Tribolium castaneum: one gene and its partner. The protein of the gene in region 2 purifies or fractionates together with the protein of the main gene of each other region. This does not show direct contact. Links are inferred from orthologs where the notes say so. Each region holds a gene or a part of one and is shown on either strand. Other genes may lie near its edges.

Region 1 (6,527 bases), on a different chromosome or scaffold from region 2:
CTCCCTTTCTCTCCACCAATCAAATTGACTTACCGGTATCAGATCCGGCCGTTGCTCCCGTCTGTACCGACCTCTGTGCAGATGCAGCATCCTGATTACTATGATTATCATCACTATCCGACTCCGTCTCCGCCAACAGATCCAATTCGGGATCGCTTTCCTCGCCTTGGATTCGACTTTCCTGTTGGTACGGAGCAGCTTCGACCGTTTCATTTTCATTAGTCGACGACTGTCTAACAGTAATTGGCAATTCACGATCAGCGGGAACATCCTCATGTTCGGACGCATTATCATCGTCATTATCAATCGCCATACTTTCACCATCATTCAAATTCAATAAATCGCGAGCGTTTGCCAGATCGCGTGCATTAGCGGCCGCTCTTCGCACAGCTTCGGCCAAAAACGGAAACCGCGGCATTGTTGAAGACCCAGAAGGTCGTGAACTCGACGGTGCTAAAGGATCAACTAGGAATAATTCTTCCGATCCGTTTAGAACGTCATTTACGGATGTTGCAAGTGAAAAGGGGGCAGTTGGTCGTGCTACGCCCAATCGAACCGGTGCCATAATAGCGTCAGCGCTCTCACACAGCTCCTCAATCGATAGTTTGCTCAAAGCTTGGAATATTTTGCGACATTTAGTCAACGGTTGGTTTTGGTTGCTTAAACTGCGTCGTTTCGTCGAGTTCGGTGCCATTTCGATGGAAAAAACGACAAAAATACGCACAACTGAGCGGACGAATCGCCGCGAAACCATTGTGGCGTATTGGGCTTGTTTCGCATCTGGATTTTTCATTTCTCTGATCAAGGTTTCGAGAAGTACGTCGATTACCATTTGGCATTTGACAAGGAAACACAAGGAGAATTTATCCAAAAGTGCCGTTCCGGTCTGTTTGGAGACGTAAGGTTGTTCGGTGAATTGTGTTTCGGAAACGTCTCGAGTCCCCGACATTATCATACTTTGAACGGCTTTCCAGTCGCCTAAAAGGCACTCCAAAGCTCGACGACTGAATCTGGGAGGCTCTAAATCATGCTCGGGCATATCGGTCTCAACTGAAACAGAAGGAGAATACACAAACGGACAGTTAATACGAGTCAAATAAGAATAAAGAGTCTCACTATCTGAAGAAGGTGTTTTATTTCGGGAATTTGCCGATGCCGTCCTGGGCCTGGTGTGACGAAACTGTCGCTGTTCTTGATTTTGTCGACCAACAGTTTGGACCAAAAACAGCAAGATACTTTCGCCGCGTGAATTCGGCAAACAGACGAGATCGGTTTCTTTAACCAAACGTGTCAAAAGTTCGTAACGGACCGTTTGGTTCCCCATTATCAATGCTTTGCATTTACATTTCTCCCAGCAGTCGCAGTAAGCCGTAGGCGAAGTCCTTTTTAACTTGCAATCGTGGCCTTTGTGGCAAACACGCGCACACTCCGTACAGCAGCAAAGCGTTCCGGTGAGGCCACAAGTGCGACATTCAAAAATATCCTACAATTTTAATTACAAAAACTATTTTTTTTCGTACCATGTCTTACTTGATTGATGTGTTCGGCCCCAGTCCAGGTAAAACTACACGTGTCGTTGCAGCACAGAACATGCAGAGGTGAGTGATCCGGATTTGAACCTTTCGGAAAGATCATCTCTTCGCGTTCCTGAGGAGTCCCCAATTTAATGATTCTTTCGAAAATTTCCAACGCGGCTGGATAACTTCGCGACGATACGGCCAACATGAACGGAGTTTGACCTTGTGCATCCCTAAAACCAATCCCAATGGTTATTTAATCAAACTCGCAGAGAAAAAAATTACTTTGCACATAAAAGCTCGATGAGATGCGACTCCAAAGCCGAGGAATCATACAAAAGCGCGTGTAAGATTTGCATCGCGTTTGATCGTCTTTCAACTGGATCGACGACGAGATTCGTCGGTGCGTTACTGTTGTTTCCGCTCCCTTTATTATTGGCAGCACTGCTTCCCAAACCCATCAGACTATCCTCATCGCCTGACGTAACATCGAAGCTTTCCGGTGGCCAACTGTGTGTCGGTATCGGTTCTTCTTGGACGAAACTGTGCTGATCTGCAGAGTTAGAAGTATTGTTGAGTGCGCTTTCGCTACGTACAACGGCTCTACGCATCATATCGCGTAGCGTAACTGATCGAGGGCCTACGGCGTTCGTTATCACATTGATACATTCCAGGCCAGCTGACGGGTCTGGAAATGACGATCCCAACAAATCAAGCTACGCACGCGACTTGAGCCTAACGTAATCACCTAAAGCATAAATTTGGCCAACTCACCGCTTTCAGTTTCCTTGTTCGACGTCGGCGTACACATGTTCACAACAGCGTGGAAAATGTTACGATTGCCGTCGCAACGTTCGTTTAAGATATTCGAAATGTTGGCTTCTGAAAATTTTTCATCACAATATCACACGGGAAAATAGTAAAACTTACTCAAATCGCTGTCTAGTTGGGCCAAAACTTGCCGGACGCCATCAATATCACAACGTAGTATTTTCGGCATGAGTAGTTGTTGTTCAAGTGCAAAGACAACAATAGCCACTTGATTCTTCATGTTGAGGCCGGTTCCAGTCAAACCAAATGTACCAGCTGTCAGGCACTTGACTGGAGGCAAGTCTAGACATTGTGGGTCGCGAATCGCATCGGCGCAATCTTTACTGAGGGGGTAAATCGTGCTGTTACCGTCGCGCAAAACCAAAATTGTTTCAGAACTCTGAAATACAAACAATGTAACAATCAGGCAAACACTACAAACGACATACTTCTCCAGCACAAATCAAGTTGATCAAATGTGGATAGAGCCCCATGAACGAAGCAGTGTCGCTCGGAAATGGATTATCTTGTTCAATTCTTCCGCTACTGACGTTGTAAACGACATAACTCAATTTACTCCCGTTCCGAACTATGGCATGTATGCCTTGTCCATCAACGGCAATCGTGAGAATTTGATTGCTATTGTCGGAAATTTGGATACGTCGAGGTGTTTTTTGAAAACAGTCAGGAACGCGTGAATTAGACGACGATTTGATCACCTACAAAACACAAATAATTTTGACCGAAACCAAATTATTGTTCATACTTGGAGGTCGTCCTTGCGCATCAATCGACAATCTTGGAAAATATCGTCGGCATCTTTGGCGTCACGATCTCTGGAATGTCCACTTGGAAATCTGACGGCGGCGTAAGCACCGTCCACTTTCAAAACGCGACCTGCTGGAACACTTCGTACATCTTCCACGAAAATTACATTCCGTAGAAGCCACTCCTCTTCGTCTTTTCTTTGCTCCGAACCGGTGTCGCTCCCAGACACGGTCATGCGTTTTTGGCGCTCTTTAATTGTTTTATTAATTGGTTTTACAATAACTGTAGAAAACTTACTGTGACTGTTTGAAATACTTCCGGTATCGCTGCAAGTACTCGAAGCCGGCGATGGTGGCGGTGGCATATCAAGCCTATCGGCGTTTTCTTTATTCGACGAACTTTTATTTGTTAAATTCGCTGCAACGAACATTAACCCCGTAAACATTTAAGTCCAGTACAGATAAAATAGTTTATAAATATCAAAAAAGACTTACATAACCCGCTAGGGCCCGGCACGGCATCTCTCCCCTTATCGGCACTCGAAGCTCCACTCGTTTGCACGTTGATAATCTTAAAAGTGCAAGTATCGCTCAACGTCCAAGCCGCATTCTGTAATTGGCCCACTTTTGGTACTCCATTGGCGATGGTAAACCCTATCGCACCCGCTTGATACATGGGACTGTTCTTCATACAAACTTGCGACCCAGTAACGATCTCTGATTGATTGTTTGAAGGTCTTTGTTTCCGGCACTTTGTACGGTATTTCTCCCACAATCGTTTGCGTTGAGCAAACGGTTAAAACGCCCCTTTAATCAATTTTTTTAGCAAAATGGGTCAATAATATACGTGAATCAATACTCACCACCAGTACAAAGCACCACTTTCAAGCTTCGCAACCGTGTACAACGGACACGTGTACAAAGCTGCAACCTTGTCAGTTTGAAACTCGGAATAGGCCTGAGCTGAATGTTCCAATTTAGCTGCTGCTGGCGCCAAAAGCTCGTCTAACCAAGTGGCGACTTTGCCGCTTTCGGTTGAGACCGAGCAACGGGTGCAACAAGCCGAGAGATGGACGATTTTTTCGCCCATTAGACCCAAAGGAACTGTCTTGGGGTGATGTATGTTACAATTCTGGAACGAATAAATGCATTTCGGTTGGTTTCAAGTGTCTATGAACGTACCTCTGGATGTCTGTAAGGTTCGGGGTCGTTCCAACGCCATTGAAACAATTGTCCGTTACTCGACAATGCGATTAATTCCGAGTAGAGACTCGCAATTTGGACGAATTTCGGTGCAGAATCGGGCCAAAATTCCAAGTCGTCGGAAATCCAAAGTGGACACGCGCTGTCTTTCTTCTTGTGATCTAAATTTGGTATTTAATGTCGTATTCAATAAAAATCACTAGCACCAACCTGAATCTTTTTCGTACGGACTTTCCCTTAGTGCCGTTTCAAGCCACCTCCTAGGTCCGAAATACTGACGATCTCTCCACCTCGAAAAATTCTCTCTGTCTCGATCTGAATTCGAACTATTGCTCGGTGGTGCATCTCTGTCGGCCAATCGACTCCTTCCACTGCCGCGACTATTAAGGAAGCTTGTTTGAGCAAAGTCAAACATTCCCAACGAGTTAGTTAAAATGCAAAAAAAATAGAAAAAAATGCAAGCGATAGAGTTGTTAACCAACAAAAAAAGCGCAACTACACAAAAAGCGAGTCAAACAGATCAAACCAAAAATCCTTACTTCCTAATGCCCGAATATCCAAACATATCTTCGGAAAACATCGCATCAGCATCGATTATCACCGAATGATCGGTATGAAACCCTCCGTCAAGCAGCGAAATTAGATCCTCTGGAACGTAAGAATCAGCTGCATCGTCTCCTTCCTCTCCTTCTTCATCATCGCGCGACAATAAATTATTAACGGCTAAATTAACATCAAGATTTGTGCGTTGCAACTCCCGTATTATCAAATTCCGGCTCTTCCCCTGAAGCACCACCTGAGCTTGCGAAACCAGCTCTTCTGGGACGTAGGGCGCTGGCACCGTCACCATCGGCCTTCCACTGCTCGAACTGCTCGTTCCTATGATAACCGGAGCACCACGACCGCCTGAAAGTAAAGGACTCTGTACATTTAAGGACGACAGAGTTAAACCAAGTATATTGCCCTGAAAAGGGTCTGGACAAACACTAAATCTTCATATGAACGAAATACAGAGGAAGAAACTCACCGCTATTGCTTCCACCTCTGATGGCCGTATTCGAGCGCATAATCCTGGCCCTGGTCCTGGGCATCTGTCTTCCGCTTCCGGTGGGTTTGCTGCTGCCGCTGCCACCGCCAGCACCACCGCTTGAGCCGCCAGTAGCACCGCCACCGGAACTACGCAACAACCAAGGTCTTTGGTTGGTGGAAACGAACAGATTTAATAAGGCACAGTGTTAAAAATGGACACAACGACGACACTGTGCGTCAAATACTCACTTTTTAGTCGAGTCATTTTTGCTGAGGTCTAAACGGTCGGAGAGGACGTTGTAGGAAACACGACATACACGGCCATCGTCGAGAAGAAGGGCGATAAACGAAGGGCCGAGACAGATTTTTTTTATACCGGAACGGAGGCTGGACAGACCTGGGTGCGAGGTGTGGCCGAGGCGGTTGATTCTATCAGCTACTTCTTTCAGTCTAAAAGAACAGAAAGAAGGTACAGACTATATTCTTGATCATTACTAGAGAGAAGTACTATTATCTAGATCAATGTTTCCCCACCAAAAGTTCGCCAAAAAAGTATTGTTATGGCGGAATTTTAAAACGCTAACGTACAAAATTACAAAATGAAGTTAAGGAACAATAAGCGGCAGCAACTCATCTCCATGGGCCACAAATTTTATATGTTTACTGTTTTTGTCCCAAGAAATTTCTTAAAAAATTAGCTGTTTTCATCGGAAGATTTTATCAAAAATTAGATAGACTTCTGTCTTTTCAGTGCGTTATTTCGTACTTACACCTAAAATCACCACTTTGTGTCTATAAAAAAGGAAACAATTACGGCGAAACTATAACCCTTAGAGCAAAACAGTTTGTTCCATCGTAAAGAACAGATAAAAATCTATACAATATATTTTTTTTCTTAAAATTTTGAATGTTTAGAAGATAGTATTTACAATTTTTTTCTCAATTACGGCAAAACTATTCGAAAAAGTAGAACTATTTTGATACTATCTTATGTAAAATGATCAGGAAAATTGATTAACATCAAGAAAATATCCATATTACCAATAGTTTTTTGTTTATAATTTTTTTATTTTACCTATTTTTGTTTCATGAATCAAGATACATTTTAGGTATTAAACAATATTATGGGTAAAAATAAGCGTTTCGAATAAGAATTGTAATAAAGAAGGACACATCTACCGAAAAATTATTAGCCAAGTTA
Region 2 (6,760 bases):
GCTACCTCGCGGACCGACTGCTCAAATCGGGCCGCCTCTCGCGCACCACCACCCGCAAAGCCTTCACCACGTTCGCCGTCCTGACCCCCGGCTTCCTCATGATAATCCAGGCCTTCCTGGGCATGGACCCCGTCATAACAGTAGTAGTATTCACCGCGTCCCTGTTTTTCAACGGCGCCGTCACCGCCGGCTACCTCTCCAACGGCCTGGACATCGCCCCCAACTTCTCGGGGACGATCTTCGGCATGGCCAACACCCTCTCGTCCTTCGGCGGCTGGCTGTCGACCAAAATCGTGGCCATCCTCACCAAAGACGAGCAGACTTTCGAGCAGTGGCGGTACGTTTTCTGGATTCTAGTCGGGACGTACGCCACTGGGGCCCTCGTTTATCTGCTACTGGGGACCGGGGAGTTACAGAAGTGGAACTCTGCGGACGAGGAGGTGCGAGTGGAGAAGGAGATGCAGCCGTTGAGGAGGAACGAGAAGGAGGTGCTAGCGTGATTTTTACTGTTTTTATACTTGTACATATTGTGATTTTTTTAAATAAATTTTTGACGATCCGAGTGTTTTTGTGTCGCAACTGTGACCTGGAAAGTTTCCTCGTGGTGATAACGGTGTGGTAATGTCTTCGTGACTTTTCAGGGGTCGCTGCAATCGATCACAGCTCAATCAAGTCGGAGTGATAAAATGCGGTCGTGGATTGACGCAAAAACCAACACCCTTTACTTGTTTATTTTCATCTCTATTAATACTTTAATGTTTATCAAGCGGTGGCTTTATCGCGATTTTATTTTGTTTATGGATGAATTTCAACTTTTGGGCACTTTGGACCAAGGGAACGCGACCGAAGTTCCTCATCTCGACGTAGTTTTGCTTTATTTCACTCAAAATAAGCAGATATACAGTGTGAATTTGATGTGACTAGATTTTTTTAAACCGAAAAATAAATTAGTCCTAATTCATCTTGGTTGCAGTATTTTTCAAACAAATAATTGGCGCAGTCAGTAGGTTTGAATTTACTTTAGAGCACTAAAAAATATTTTTATTATACTGTAAAAAAGATTGTACTGTTGTAACAGTTTTTCGTAAATTAGAGAAACATTCATTAGTTGCCAAATGAGCTCGGCCTTGACTTTAAATAACTAGGGCCGTTAATTTAAATTCGTATTTTTTCATCCTTCCTAATTACCCATCATCTGTCTATTTATACGGAGGAATGACAATGACACAAATGTAACACTTGTAAAGTTTTCGATTCCGCTTTGAAATTGTGCAGCGTAATCTGAACGATTTGCATACGAAAAATAAAATATTTATAATAGAATCGCTCCCGACCTTTTGACATTAATTAAAAAACACAATACATTACAAAGCAGTTTTGATATTCAAAAAACATGATTTAAGAAAAACAAATTGTTACACACGCGAATTTGCATAATAATGTACCCGGTTTTACAGCCTTGTGTCGCAAAAAAACAAAATTTCCCCTGTTTTGTCAAACGCAAGTCGGTCACGTGTTTCATCATTTCAATACCAGTCCTGCACCCACTGATATCAATGCGTAGTTTGTTTACCGTCTCAATCTTTGAATAGTGCATATCATGGGTGATCAATCATTGTGACGTCAGAAGCAAGCCTTCGCTTATCGGCCAATGAAAACACGCATTTTCGGATTCAAAGTGCACTGGATCGGGACGGTTGGGGGAGTAACACAGCAGTGAATCTTTAATAAACCATGATTTTTTAAATCGATTTGTACATTCGTGTAATAGAGGTAAAATTCAATAGTGACAAAATGGACCTACGACTAGTAATAAATAAAAAACTTAAATATCGTATCACAAATAATAGTAACAAGCGTTTTAAGGACAAAAATCCTACAACAGTGTACTTGAATAAATTGACTAAAATGATACTTCATCTTTTGGTCAAAAATAGTTATTTTGTAACAGTATTAACACTTTTGTCGTAATTTTTTAATATTGTTCAAGAATCACTCGATCTAAGGGAACGAAATTCCCCAACTAAAAATCAAATCTAAGCTCATTCTATCTACTTTATTGACGTTTCGAGGCCATGATGATTGAAAAATAAATAGCAGCGTGGCCAGGGCACACTCCAAAATTCCCTTTAGTAATATATGAACAGCAGAGGTGGTGAAAAGTAGATATTCATAATTTTAGGTCACGAGACGGGGTAACCTCACCGGTCCTGCGGTATTCTCGTACCCCTCAGAATTTTACTTTGCTGCAAAGAGATTGCTTCCTATATTGTGTGTTATAACTTAAGAGACGAAACGTTTTAATTCATTGCTCTGCGCCCTCTGTCGACATTGACGGGACGTTTTATTTGTCCGTTTCGTATCCTAACCTTTAGCTCTCCGTACTCTAGCCACTTACCTGATATTGCTGCTCCGAGTCGATAGTTCCAACCACTGCCACAATCTGGTACTGGCGCGCTTTCATGGCCGCCTCGCTTTTCCTCAAAAGGCGCAAAGCCACAGCTGAGCTGTTCGTGTCGCCAAACTGCGCCATCTGTTGGGGGGAATGGCTCGGATCTAGCACTAGAAGGATCAAGCTGCCGTCTCGGTGCACCTCGATGCCCATGATGGTCCGGCTGTGACCTTGATGTTGTAAATACAGTGGTGGAACGAACTCACCACCAACGCTGTTTTCGAAATATTTCAACACCCAGGTGAAGAGTTCTGGATGGGTGCCGCCGGGGCCTGTCGGCCGATGAAAGTCTACCAGCTGGCATTTGATTCGGAGAAATGATAAGAGTGTGACGACTTCGGTGGCTCCAATCCATTTGCGAGTATTAACAAGACGGCAACCTAATTGCTCCGAACCCTGAATGTCGAAACCTTGGGACCAGGCCTGCTCGATGAGGCTTTGGAGGCGGGATATGCTCGGAACGGAACTGCGGGGCGGCTTCTGGCCCTGCCATAGCTTGTATAAGCGTTCGTTGTATCTGAAATTTTTACAAATTGCCTTCAAAAAATTAAAAAAAAAAAAAAGAGAAACAAAATAACGCCAAATAAATTAACTACCGTAATTCCACTATTTTCGCTTTTTTATAGCGTTCCTACTGCAGAAATGAAAAATATATCGAAAAATTTAGTCAAAAACAATCCAAAAAATCGCAAAATTAGGAAGATTATGATGTTATTTTTTCCTTCAACAAATCTTTAAGCACATGTTTGAAGTAAAATCTTAATAATTTCAGCCAATTTCTCTAAAATAAACCGAAAAATCATTCAATTTATTTTATTTAGCAAGTTTTTAAACGAAATTTGTTTAAAAATGAGCGAAAAAAAAAAACAAAAAATTTGATAAAAAATTGTTTTATTGTTACGTTTTCAAGCTTAAAATGCCAGGAATGTTTCAAGATTATACTAAAACTGTTTGAAAAAATCACCACATGAAGTCGATATTTACATTATTTTTACTTTTTTCGAACGTTTTTTCTTGATAGTTATTTCAGAAATATATTCTTATAAAAAAAAACAAAAATTTACAAAAATATTAAAAAAAACGGTCTAATTTTTACCTTTTACCAATCTTTCAGCTGATTATTGAACAAAAATCTGAGTAATTTTACAGATATTTCGCAAACAAAACCGGCAGAAAACTGAATAAAGTCCATAATTTTTGATTTTTTCGAGCATTGCAAATGATTTTTCATTCAAAACTGTAATACTTTGGCAAATTTTTCATTAAAAACAAGCCTAAAAATCGTTTTTAAGTAAAGTTTCGTCAAAAATAAGCTAAAAAAACACAAAACTTCATAAATGTACTACCTACTTATCTTTTCAAGTCTAAAATCTCAGTAATTTTATTAAGATTTCATTAAAGCAGGTTGGAAATCGAGAATCTTCACTCGTTTTTAGTCAAAAACGCAGACATGTCGCAAAAAATCGTCAAAAAAGCGGTAAAAACACAAAATTAAGAATAAAATATTTACTCTTTACAAGTCTTTAAGCACATTATTTCACTAAAATCTTTGTAATACTACGAGGGTTCGCTAAAATAAGCCCAAGTTTTTCCTTTGTCGAGCGTTTATGATAGTTTTTCATCCGAAAACAGTAAAATTTCGCAAAATTTCTTAAACCTACTAAACTTTCACTTAATTTATAACGTTTTAGCACTTAAATACAGTAATTTTGCAAGTTTTCACTAAAACAAAGCAAAAAAACACAATTAAATTGACAAACTTTTGAGCAAAATTTCGCCAGAAATAACGAAAAAGAAAGACATTTTTGAACTAAAATCAGTAAATTTGCTAGAGTTTGTTAAAATAGATCAAAAAATAGGAAGACTTGCATTTTCTTTATGATCGTGCTTCAGCCACAAACTAAATACTTGGCAAATTTTCCTAAAAACAAGCCTAACAATCACCAAATTTTACTTAATTTGCCACGTTTTAAGCAAAATATCGTCAAAACTAAACCAAAAATACTCTAAATTTCATTATAACTTGTATTTTTCGTACCTTTTCAAGTCTAAAATCTCAAAAATAATGCAAAGTCTCACTAAAGCAGGCCGAAAAATCACTAAATTAAGAAGATAATTACGTAAAGATTAAATTTTTTCGAGTATCTCTGCCCGCTTTACAGCCAGAAACGTAATTATTTCGTAACATTTCGTCAAAGACAAGCTATAAAATCACAATATTATGCAGAAAACGGTGTTATATTTGCGTTTTTAAAGCCTTTAAGTACGTTTTCAAGCTCTCCAAGCTAGTTTTTCCTAAACCAAAAATCACAAAATTGATTTAGTATAAATTATTTTACATTTTTACGCAAGTTTTAGGATTCTAGTCCATCAGTTTGTGTAAAATAACGTCATCAAACTATAAATAACTTGACTACATAAAAATATAAGCCCAAAAACCGTAGTTTTACGGGCGAATTAAAAAAAATGTTCGGTATAAGGAATAGTTCTTTGATGTTATTGAACTATTAGTCAAAAATACTACATAAAAAAATATTTTCAAGAAAAATTAAATATTACCCAGTGTGTGTAAGCAGACTTGATATCAACATCTGCATATTCCTGTATCCGCAGCCCCAGCCTCTATCACCATACGATGAAGCGTAGTGATCAACGCAGGTACAGAGTAAAGTTCGGACCACATTAGGTGCAGTAGTGCTAATGGCTCGAACTCTAGGCACAATACTCCTGGTTATGGAGCTCCCATCGTCAATCCCACAACTTTCAGCCGCTCTCAAATCCAACGTACGTTCATAATAATCGGCAACACTCATCTCGCCCGCGTACACAGCTCTTTGCATGTTCGTAACGGACTGTTCCCTGAAGTTTCCCTGGTTGTCCATGCCGTACTGCGCCCTCAACATTTCGAATTCCCGCTGCTCCCTTTCACGCAACGCTGCTCTGTCGGCGGGCTGAGGCGAAGTGGCCGGAAAATGACTCTCCACGTGACGAGCAGCGCTCTCACTCTACAGAAAAATATAGAAAAAAAAATTACCATGGAATGGAATGACAAGGCAAAAAATTTACATTGCTTGCGTTGTCTAGATTCATACCGCAGACGGGACACGAATGTGTTGGGGGACTGGCAGGCGACAGCACGTCACGGTGCTCGATGTTGACATGGAGCTCCAAGTCGGGGGCCGAATTGAACGACTTCACGCATAAGGGACACGAGTATATCTCGCTGGTGGTGCCCCCCATCGAAGGCGACGTCACGTCAAAATGCCGCCTAAAATAAAACAAGAAACTAACCACCGAGGCCTAACTACGTCCAAAAATTATCAAATTGTGAGCCAAAAACTCACTTGTTTTGTGAAATTTCCTTCTAATACGGCGAAAAATTTAAGTCGGAAATTGTATTATTTTACTCCACTTCGCAAAAGCTAATTTTATAACTTTATGAGTGAAATAAAGCTAGTATTTTATACAAAATTTGAGTAAATAAGATGAAACACCACGAAGACAATTGATTCAAAATATTCTCATTTGTTACCTAATATTAAATTAAATTAAATTAATCCCATTTCTGAATATGTGACAATATCATGTAATCATTTGAATTAATAATTACAATAAGTTTTCATACTTTTTTAACTTGATTCAAAACGGTGATTATCATAATTTATTAATCAAGTTGGGAAGTCGAATGATAAAATTTCGAACGGTAATATTTAATTAGAATACAGTTTTCCCTCAGATTGCACTAGTTTATCATTCACAAAAAAAAAAACAAAAGCTAACTCTAATTATAAATTCGAATAATTCCATGATAGGTATATCGAAAAATTGTTGAAAATTATGTACTTGAATATGATTACGTTTGCCTACAATAGGTTAAAAAAAAAACAACAAATATAGATCGAAAATAACATTATGTATATGCCAATTTTATTTAAAAATTTTGTTAAAATTACCCCAGAAGAAGGCAACATTTGATAAAAAATTTAACTATTTTTACATTTTTAAGCCTAATATCTTAGTAATTTTACTAAATTTCTCTAAAATAAGCCGAAAAATCCAAAATTAAGTAGATATTCCACTGTTTTTACTTTGTCTAGCATGTATGTTCGATTTTTTTTTTTTTTTCAAGTAGAAACGCAATTATTTTACAAAATTTAAAAAACAAACCGAAAAAAACACAAAATTAGTCAAAAAATGGTGTCATTTTCAACTAAAATATCAGGAAATTTGGAAATTAACCCAAAAGAAGATAAAGTTTGATAAGAAATTGAGTTATTTTAGCCTATTCAAGCTTAATATCTTAGTAAT

What was found. Proteins that work in one complex are often made in the same cells at the same time.
Region 1: the proteins of zinc finger-containing ubiquitin peptidase 1 (region 2) and hyd purify together in Homo sapiens (affinity purification with mass spectrometry, with the first as the bait; 3 studies listed by BioGRID). This does not show direct contact. The link is inferred for Tribolium castaneum from reciprocal best matches to the Homo sapiens genes ZUP1 and UBR5.

What each region holds. Positions count from the first base shown.
Region 1 is NC_087398.1:9,887,681-9,894,207, forward strand, and holds the start of hyd (E3 ubiquitin-protein ligase hyd), read right to left. Parts: upstream 3,786-6,527; coding exon 3,590-3,785; intron 3,513-3,589; coding exon 3,393-3,512; intron 3,345-3,392; coding exon 3,094-3,344; intron 3,047-3,093; coding exon 2,777-3,046; intron 2,728-2,776; coding exon 2,448-2,727; intron 2,400-2,447; coding exon 2,292-2,399; intron 2,071-2,291; coding exon 1,803-2,070; intron 1,751-1,802; coding exon 1,531-1,750; intron 1,484-1,530; coding exon 1,117-1,483; intron 1,051-1,116; coding exon 34-1,050; intron 1-33. Other genes in the region: E3 ubiquitin-protein ligase hyd-like, read right to left, coding at 3,954-4,226, 4,277-4,458, 4,508-4,689, 4,837-5,203, 5,325-5,491, 5,576-5,776. UniProt on the Homo sapiens protein: E3 ubiquitin-protein ligase involved in different protein quality control pathways in the cytoplasm and nucleus. Mainly acts as a ubiquitin chain elongator that extends pre-ubiquitinated substrates.
Region 2 is NC_087399.1:5,856,837-5,863,596, reverse strand, and holds the end of zinc finger-containing ubiquitin peptidase 1, read right to left. Parts: intron 5,721-6,760; coding exon 5,519-5,720; intron 5,458-5,518; coding exon 5,012-5,457; intron 2,970-5,011; coding exon 2,399-2,969; intron 2,247-2,398; coding exon 2,202-2,246; 3' UTR 1,718-2,201; downstream 1-1,717. Other genes in the region: sialin, read left to right, coding at 1-500. UniProt on the Homo sapiens protein: Deubiquitinase with endodeubiquitinase activity that specifically interacts with and cleaves 'Lys-63'-linked long polyubiquitin chains. Shows only weak activity against 'Lys-11' and 'Lys-48'-linked chains.